Linked DNA regions of Mus musculus. The main gene of each other region encodes a partner of the protein of the gene in region 2 in a complex. Links are inferred from orthologs where the notes say so. Each region holds a gene or a part of one and is shown on either strand. Other genes may lie near its edges.

Region 1 (3,649 bases), on a different chromosome or scaffold from region 2:
AACTTCTTTCCAGAATGATCCTTCCTCAGCTTGCTACCCTCATCATGTCTCACCCTCTCAGTACCCACAGAATGAAGTAACAAGACGTGCCTGTTCTAGCTTGCTTGCTTTCTGTTGCTGTGACCAACACCACAGCCAAAGCAACGTGGCAAGGAGGAGGAGGAAGCATCTTGCTTATACTTCCAGGTCACAACTCATCACTGAGGGAAGCTGGGGCAAGAACTGAAGCAAAAACCATAGATGACTAGACCAGGCCAGACTGAAAGAACAGCGTCACCTCCATTTCAGGACCAGGCCTGGCTTCAAAAGGAAAGACATCTATCTGTCTCAGGAACTAGGTTATAAGTCACCAGCTCCATAAAATTCCCCCATCCAAAGACAGCCTGGAGATAACCACAAGAACAGGGAAATATCTCAGGTTGACCATCTATGCTGGGCAGCCTTGTATGGTTTAGGTATCTCATCCTGTGGCTAAACGTTCATGACAGAGAAATGCAGACCACAGACCACCTGGCACAAGCCAATCAGAAAACAACCCATGGAGCATCCTCATCACCCATCAATGAAACCTTAGATTACCTAACCAACTCTCTAAGGTCTCACCAAATATAGAAGAACATAGCAGCCGACCAAAATTCTACTAATGTCACCACTTTGGCCCTACCAATCACATTAGAAATTACCTAATCCTTCTGGAAAATTCCTCTAGCCCTACATTAAAAAGGGCCAGGAGCTCCTATGGACTGGCCATTTTGGTGAATGGTTGACCCCTATGCATACTGGTTATTTCTGCAGAATAAACACTCTTTGTCTTTGCATACTATTTGAATCTGGAGTCTTCCTTCAGCAATTTTCAGACCCTAACAAGACCACGACTTGCCAACTGATTCCCTCACTTTCCTAATTTCTTATTCAGCCCAAGCCCACGGTAGCTCTCCTACATGAATTAGCATTCAAGAAAATGCCCCCACCGGCTAATCTGGTGGAAGAAATTCAAATTCGCCAGGCAGTGGTGGTGCATGCCTTTAATCCCAGCACTTGGGAGCCAGAGACAGGTGTATTTCTGAGTTCGAGGACAGCCTGGTCTATAGAATGAGTTCCAGGACAGCCAGGGCTACACAGAGAAATCCTGTCTCAAAACAACAACAAGAAGAAAGAAAGAAAGAAAGAGAGAGAGAGAGAGAGAGAGAGAGAGAGAGAGAGAGAGAGAGAGAGATTCAAATTCAATTCCAGGTATCACAAATTGACAACTAAGTGTCTTCTTGCTCCTGGCAAGACACTCCCCCTGATGATCTGATTCAGTTATTCATAGACCTTTCTTTCAGCCATAAACCACATGGGTATAAATAGTAGATTTCCTGGTCATTCTCCTGATAAGCACCTAGTGCTGTTCAGATCGCGTTCCTCCTCTAAGCAGAAAACTCGAGCAGGTGAAAAGCTGCCTTACTCCCCACTACGTCTGGCACAATGCCTGGCATGGACATCACAGTATGCGTGATAAATGCACATGTGCAATAATATACTATAAAAACACTTGTTCTCACTAAACTATGTATGTGTTTACAGAGTTTGTTCCAGAGAGCCAAAACGGTTCTTTCCCTATTGAATTTAAGGATTGCATATTTCACAAAATTATTTTACACACGTGTATTTCTTTTTTTTGGGGGGGGGGGTTGGGTTTTTCGAGACAGAGTTTCTCTGTGTAGCCCTGGCTGTCCTGGCACTCACTTTGTAGACCAAGCTGGCCTCGAACTCAGAAATGTGCCTGCCTCTGCCTCCCCAGTGCTGGGATTAAAGGCGTGTGCCACCACGCCCGGCGCACATGTATTTCTTTTTTCTTTTTTGTGATCTTGGTAGTTTTTATTGTTTATTATTATTATTATTATTATTATTATTATTATTATTATTATTTCTTTCATTTATTTACATTCTAGTCCCTCCCACTCCCTTACACATGTATTTCTAAGAAGTTTTGATGCTTTCAAATTCCAACTGTAAAATATATAGATACAGATTATTATCCACTGATTGAAACATAGACAGATATAGAGCTATACATGTAAATAGAGTTATGCCAGTGGGGCCTCCTTCACAGGCAGAACACCAGTTAAGAATTTGGTTAGCGGGGCTGGGGCAGTGGCTCAGCAGTTAAGAGCACTGGCTGTTGGAGAGGACTTGGATTTGAATCCCAGTACCTATAGAACAGCTCAGAACCTTCTCCCAGGGGATCTGGCACCCTCTTCTGGCCTCCACTGGCACTGCAGATGTATGGTACACAGACATAGAGACATACTGGCAAAATATCCATACACATAAAATAAAGGTTTAAAAAAATTTTTTTTTGATTATTAGCACCTGCACTTTTGGCCTTTTTAACATAAAGGAAACTATTATTTACAAACCAATCCCATACACACTAGACATTATCAACACAAAAACCAATCTGTCCTGGGATCTTGATACTTACATCAGATAACATTGGCTCATCAAGTTCTTCCACCCGGCTCAAGTTAGGCGCCCCGTACCGATCGCTGATCTCCGCTAGGGTTTTACCCGAGTCCATCACCAATTCCTACAGTCACAAAATTCAGTTTCTACTTTCACATGGCTTCAATATGAGCATGCCCCTTTTCTTTCAATTTTGAAATAAAATTTCTGAGTTAAGCACTTAAGACTCATCACTTTTAGTTGGTAGAATTCACGTCTACTACTGCCAGCTAATGGTATGAGAATTCTAGTATGAAGCACTAAAAACTATTTTTAAATCCACTTGGAATTTTAATACACATAATTTGTAAGCAATTCTATGGGCAACATAACAGGACATTGTAGCTTTAAAATATTCCAGTACAAACAGAATGTCCAAATTGTATTCACTTTGAAATTTGTTTCAAGACACTGCACACCTGTGCCTTATCACCAAAATATCCATCTGGGCTGTCACTTCCATAGGTTTTTTGTTTGTTTGTTTGTTTGTTTTTGTTTTTTGGTTTTGCTTTTGTTTTATTAAGGCAGGGTCTCACTATATAGCTTTAGGCATGCCTGGAAGGAATCACAACTTACCAGCCTGAGGCACTGTGATCACATATGTATGCCACCATGCCCATTCTGGTATTGACAGTGCCCTTATTAAAACTTTAGCCACTTGTGATGGTTTGTATATGCTTGACCTGGGGAGAGGCACTATTAGAAGGTGTAGCCTTGTTGGACTTGGTGTGTCACTGTGGGTATGGGCTTTGAGACCTTCATTCTAACTGCCTGGAAGCCAGTATTCTGCTTTCAGATAAAGATATAGAACTCTCAGCTCCTCCTGCACCATGCCTGGCTGGATGCTGCCATACACCCACCGTGATGCTAATGGACTGAACCTTGGAACCTGTAAGTCAGCCCCAATTAAATGTTGTCCTTATAATAGTTGCCTTGGTCATGGTGTCTGTTCACAACAGTAAAACCCTAACCAAGACACCACTGATACAAAAAGTAAGATTCTGTTCTAAGATATGTGTTCATGTCCCACGACACACAGTAGGTCTCCCCTCTCACCTCCGCCTGCATGGGCTCCTGCTCCTCACCCCTAGCCGTGCTCTCCATGCTCATCATGCTCTGCATAAAGTCAAGAAAACATTGAATACTGCTCATTTCCTTCCCA
Region 2 (4,416 bases):
CACACAGGTGCTGCCGTCACACCTGGCTTTTACATGCTTGCTGGGGATTCAAGCTCATGTCCCTGTACTTGCTCAGCAAACGCTGGGCCACAACCCCACTCCAACTCTGTTTTCTTTATTTTTTCATTCATTTCTTTATTTTTAAGGATTTAATTATTTTATACATGTCAGTACACTGTAGCTGTTTTCAGACACACCAGAAGAGGGCATCAGATCCCATTACAGATGGTTGTGAGCCACCATGTGGTTGCTGGGAATTGAACTCAGGATCTCTGGAAGAGCAGTCAGTGCTCTTACCACTGAGCCATCTCTCCAGCCCCCAGTTTGTTTTTGTTTTTGTTTTTTATTTTAAAACACTTAGAAAAATAGATAATATGATACTATATAAAAAATTTAGCTGGGGGGAGAGAATGGGGGACTTTTGGGATAGCATTGGAAATGTAAATGAGGAAAATACCTAATAAAAAATATTAAAAAAAAAAAAAAACTTAGCTGGAGCCAGGCAGTGGTGGCACACACCACTTTAATCCCAGCACTTGAGAGGCAGAGACAGGCAGATTTCTGAGTTCGAGGCCAGCCTGATCTACAGAGTGAGTTCCAGGACAGCCAGGGCTACACAGAGAAACCCTGTCTCAAAAAAACAAACAACAAAAAATTTAAGACAGTCTCAGGCTGTTGAGATGGCTCAGCATGTAAGACTGCTCTTCCGAAGGTCCTGAGTTCAAATCCCAACAACCACATGGTGACTCACAACCACCCGTAATGAGATCTGACGCCCTCTTCTGGTGTGTCTGAAGACAGCTACAGTGTACCTATTTATAATAATAAATAAATCTTTGGGCTGGAGCAAACAGAGACTGAGTGAACAGAGGTCCTAAATTCTATTCCCAACAACCACATAATGGCTCACATCCATCTGTACAGCTACATTTTATGTATATGTCCTCATATACATAAAATAAATAAATCTTAAAAAAATAAAAGTCTCACTATGTTACCCTGGCTGGCTAGCAACTTGCTATAGAGACCATACTGGCCTTGAACTCAACAGAAACATACATCTCTGCTTCTCAGTGCTGGGATAAAAAGCACCAAACTCAGCTATATTCATACAGTTAAGAGAATAAAAATGTTTTATTCTCTTAAAATTATAGTTCGAATAAAATTCAAACAAAATATTACAAACACTAAGCTCTATTTCATCTATTTATAAACTTGTCTTTTAGTTGGAGACCTTGTCTACTAGAGGACAGTTAAGAATTCTGTGAAGGGGCTGGCAAGATGGCTCAGCGGGTTAGAGCACTGACTGCTCTTCTGAAGGTCCTGAGTTCAAATCCCAACAGCCATATGGTGGCTCACAACCATCTCACATACATACATAAAAAAAAAAAAAAAGAATTCTGTGAAGCCCAAGATCACTGGGAACTCAGATCCTCCAGTCCTACCATGTCTAGGGCTGGGATCATATGTCACTACTTCCAAGGCCTGCATCCATGTATCCCAGGATGGCCTAGGACTCACTATGAAGTCCAAGCTAATCTCTCACTGTCTTCTGGGAGGCCTGACTTCTTTGACTTTGTTTACCAACTACAGAACAAATATTGGTTTTAACTCTAAATGTTCGCTGGCTGTGGCGGTGCTCACCTTTAATTCCAGCACAAGGGAGGAAGAGGCAGGGGGATCTCTGAGTTCCAGGCTACTTAGTGAGTTCCAAGTCAGCCAGGGCTATACGGAGAAATCTTTTCTTGAAAACAAAAACCAAAAGAAAAAAAACAAAACAAAACAAAAATAAACCTACTGACACCAGGAACCAAAATATGCACAGGAATATTGCACATAACCTAGAAGGGATAAGTAGGTTCTCATTTAATGATCCAGAATGTTAGAAACACCCAGGAGAAAGAATGTAGCTAAGCCATTGCCCCTCCCTAGAGCTGACTTGGGAAAGGGAAGGGAAGGGAAGGAAAGGCGGTTGGCTTCTTTGATGTCGTACTCTCCATCCTTTGAAGTGTGAAAAAACTTGTCTGTTACTTGTATCTTGTTTGTTTTTGAGACAGGTCTCCCAGGCTAAACTTGGAAGTCAGTACATAGCTGACCCGCCTCGAGCGCCTGATACCGAGATCACAGGCATGTGTGGAGCACATGCCCAGGTTATATATAACCTTTATATTTAGAAATGTAAACTTAATGTTACTAAGGATCTAATCGGGTGGCTACATTTATATAGGAATAACGGAAAACGAATAAAAGAGACAGCAGACGTTACCTGAATAATGGTGAATCCAGATCCCAGAATAATATCCTGTATCTCCTCTTCTTTGTCAACAACATCTGGCTTGATAAGGGCTAGGGTTTTTTCTACATATATCTGAGGCAGGGGCATTGATACCTCCATTCTGGCGTTTTCCGGTACAATTTTCAAATCTCCTAACCAGTTATCCACAGCAACGACAGGAGTCCTGGTCCCAAAATCAGCCTGTGGCAAAATTTGGTGCTAGATTTGATTAATTTATAAAAACGGAAACTGCTATGTTTTTCTACGAGAGCAGTTTTGCAAGAATCCGACTTGTACTGCACGCAAGGGGAGCCCTAGCCGCTTGACTGAGGTTGGAGGACGGATGGTCAGCGTCGCTCTCAGGGGTAAAGGAAGGCACCTAGCCGGCTGTCCTAGTGAAGGGGCCCCACCCCGTAGGGGCCACTTGGTGCAGGCTTAAGCATGACAGAAAAGATGAGTCCCCGAGCCCTCGGGAAATCTCCACGCAGGACCCTCCCAAGCTTTACTTACTCTGTTCAGGTGTTGTCAAAGCCCGTTGCTAAGAGACCCAAAGCTGGTTTCCTAACGGTGGCTGCAGAGGGCCAATTCCAGCCGCGTTTTAAATGGCTCTAGTTAGTTTTAATCTAGGGCAACAATTAGCCGTGCACATTTTATTCTTTTTGTACTACACACACTTCTAACGTTTCCCACACTAATTTTAAAAACAATTTTATTTACTGTGTAGTGTGTGTGATGTGATGTGATGTGATGTGATGTGATGTGGAGTTAAAACAACTTTGTGAAGTCCTTCCCGTGTTTCTGTGGTTTCCAGGGATGGAAATCAAGTGGTCATCTTTACCCTTTTAGCCTTAGCGCCAGACCTTCTCTAGATGACCTCCTTTCTTGAAGGATGTGTACCTTATCCACACGCTGTAAATGAGATAAATCAGACACCTCTCAGCTATTTACTTTTTCTTTCCTTCCTTTTCTTTTTCTTTTTTTTTTTCTTTCTTTTTCTTTTTTTTTTTGGGTGGTTGTGGTGGTGGTGCTTAGGATCAAATCTAGGCAAGCAATTAACCACTGAGCCACATCAAACACCTTCTGGGCTTCACCACGTGATGCCATCCCCTCTAGTTCCAGCTTCTTTAACCGTTTAGAAACCGCCTTTGCAAGGCCTGGTGGTCTGGTGGTGGAAACCCCTAATCCCAGCACACCATTGGAGGCAGAGGCTGGATGCAATGGGGACTTACAGGAAAGCCTAGGTTTTGATTCTCTGACTCAAAAACCAAGCAAAATCTTTAGTTTGCGAAATATTTATTTATAGAGAAACAAAGGTTCAATCAAATTACTTCTAAGTCTATGCAACAAAAATATGAGCAATATTTACACCATAAATCCAGATCTTGGTACCCCACCCCACCACACCCCACCCCTTTAAAAAATATTCCATCTGCAAGCACCATTGGCTTCTTAGTTAGGAGGCAAGGCATTACTGTCCTTATTTGGAAAGGGAATAGAGAGAGAGGGAGGGAAAGTCTTCACATCGTCTCTGGCCAGTCCTAAGAAGAGCTGTAACTTGAGAAAGAACCAGACTTGTAGTTCCAGGCTAACAAAGTCCCCTTTCTTCATCCACCACATTAGCTGGCACTCATTCCAGACTACTCAAGTCCTTCCTTTTATCCAGCCAAGTACTCAGAACCTACAGGAGCAATGCACAGACAGGAAACCATGAACCTTGAGGGCCAGGAGGAAGTGTATGCAATTGTATTTATTTTATTGGCAAACAGATAAAACTACACCTTTTAAAATTTGATGCTTTCCAAAGAGAAATCCTTACAAGTCTCCTTGAACTCACTCTGTCTTCTCCAAATTATGGGAAATATACATGTACATTAATGTCAACAGTTGCAACAAATGAGACATTGTCAGTGAGTCCAGCACCCGATTTGCTTCTAGCCTTACGACTCGGGCCTCTGAAAGCAGACCTGACCGTAACTAACTCCTCTCCGGCCGTCTTGCTGCTGGCCTTCCCAGACAACCTCACCCCACTGTGTGTTAAATCCGGATCCATTAAGACAAGGAACTTCCCCATCCCAAGAGTACCTTGGTCCTTCAGGCCCTTCAGTCACCTCTGAAGATAAACTCTAAAACACAAGCTCACC

The links.
Region 1: Nme5 (region 2) and Dydc1 share a complex: the UniProt entries of both Homo sapiens proteins name them as parts of the axonemal radial spoke complex. The link is inferred for Mus musculus from reciprocal best matches to the Homo sapiens genes NME5 and DYDC1.

The regions. Positions count from the first base shown.
Region 1 is NC_000080.6:41,086,308-41,089,956, reverse strand, and holds part of Dydc1 (DPY30 domain-containing protein 1), read right to left. Parts: intron 3,604-3,649; coding exon 3,544-3,603; intron 2,573-3,543; coding exon 2,468-2,572; intron 1-2,467. UniProt on the Homo sapiens protein: Functions as part of axonemal radial spoke complexes that play an important part in the motility of sperm and cilia. Plays a crucial role during acrosome biogenesis.
Region 2 is NC_000084.6:34,576,292-34,580,707, forward strand, and holds the start of Nme5 (nucleoside diphosphate kinase homolog 5), read right to left. Parts: upstream 2,825-4,416; 5' UTR 2,786-2,824; exon of another isoform or gene 2,477-2,785; 5' UTR 2,396-2,476; coding exon 2,267-2,395; intron 1-2,266. Other genes in the region: Brd8dc (uncharacterized protein LOC271508), read right to left, coding at 3,903-3,953. UniProt on the Homo sapiens protein: Functions as part of axonemal radial spoke complexes that play an important part in the motility of sperm and cilia. Does not seem to have nucleoside diphosphate kinase (NDPK) activity.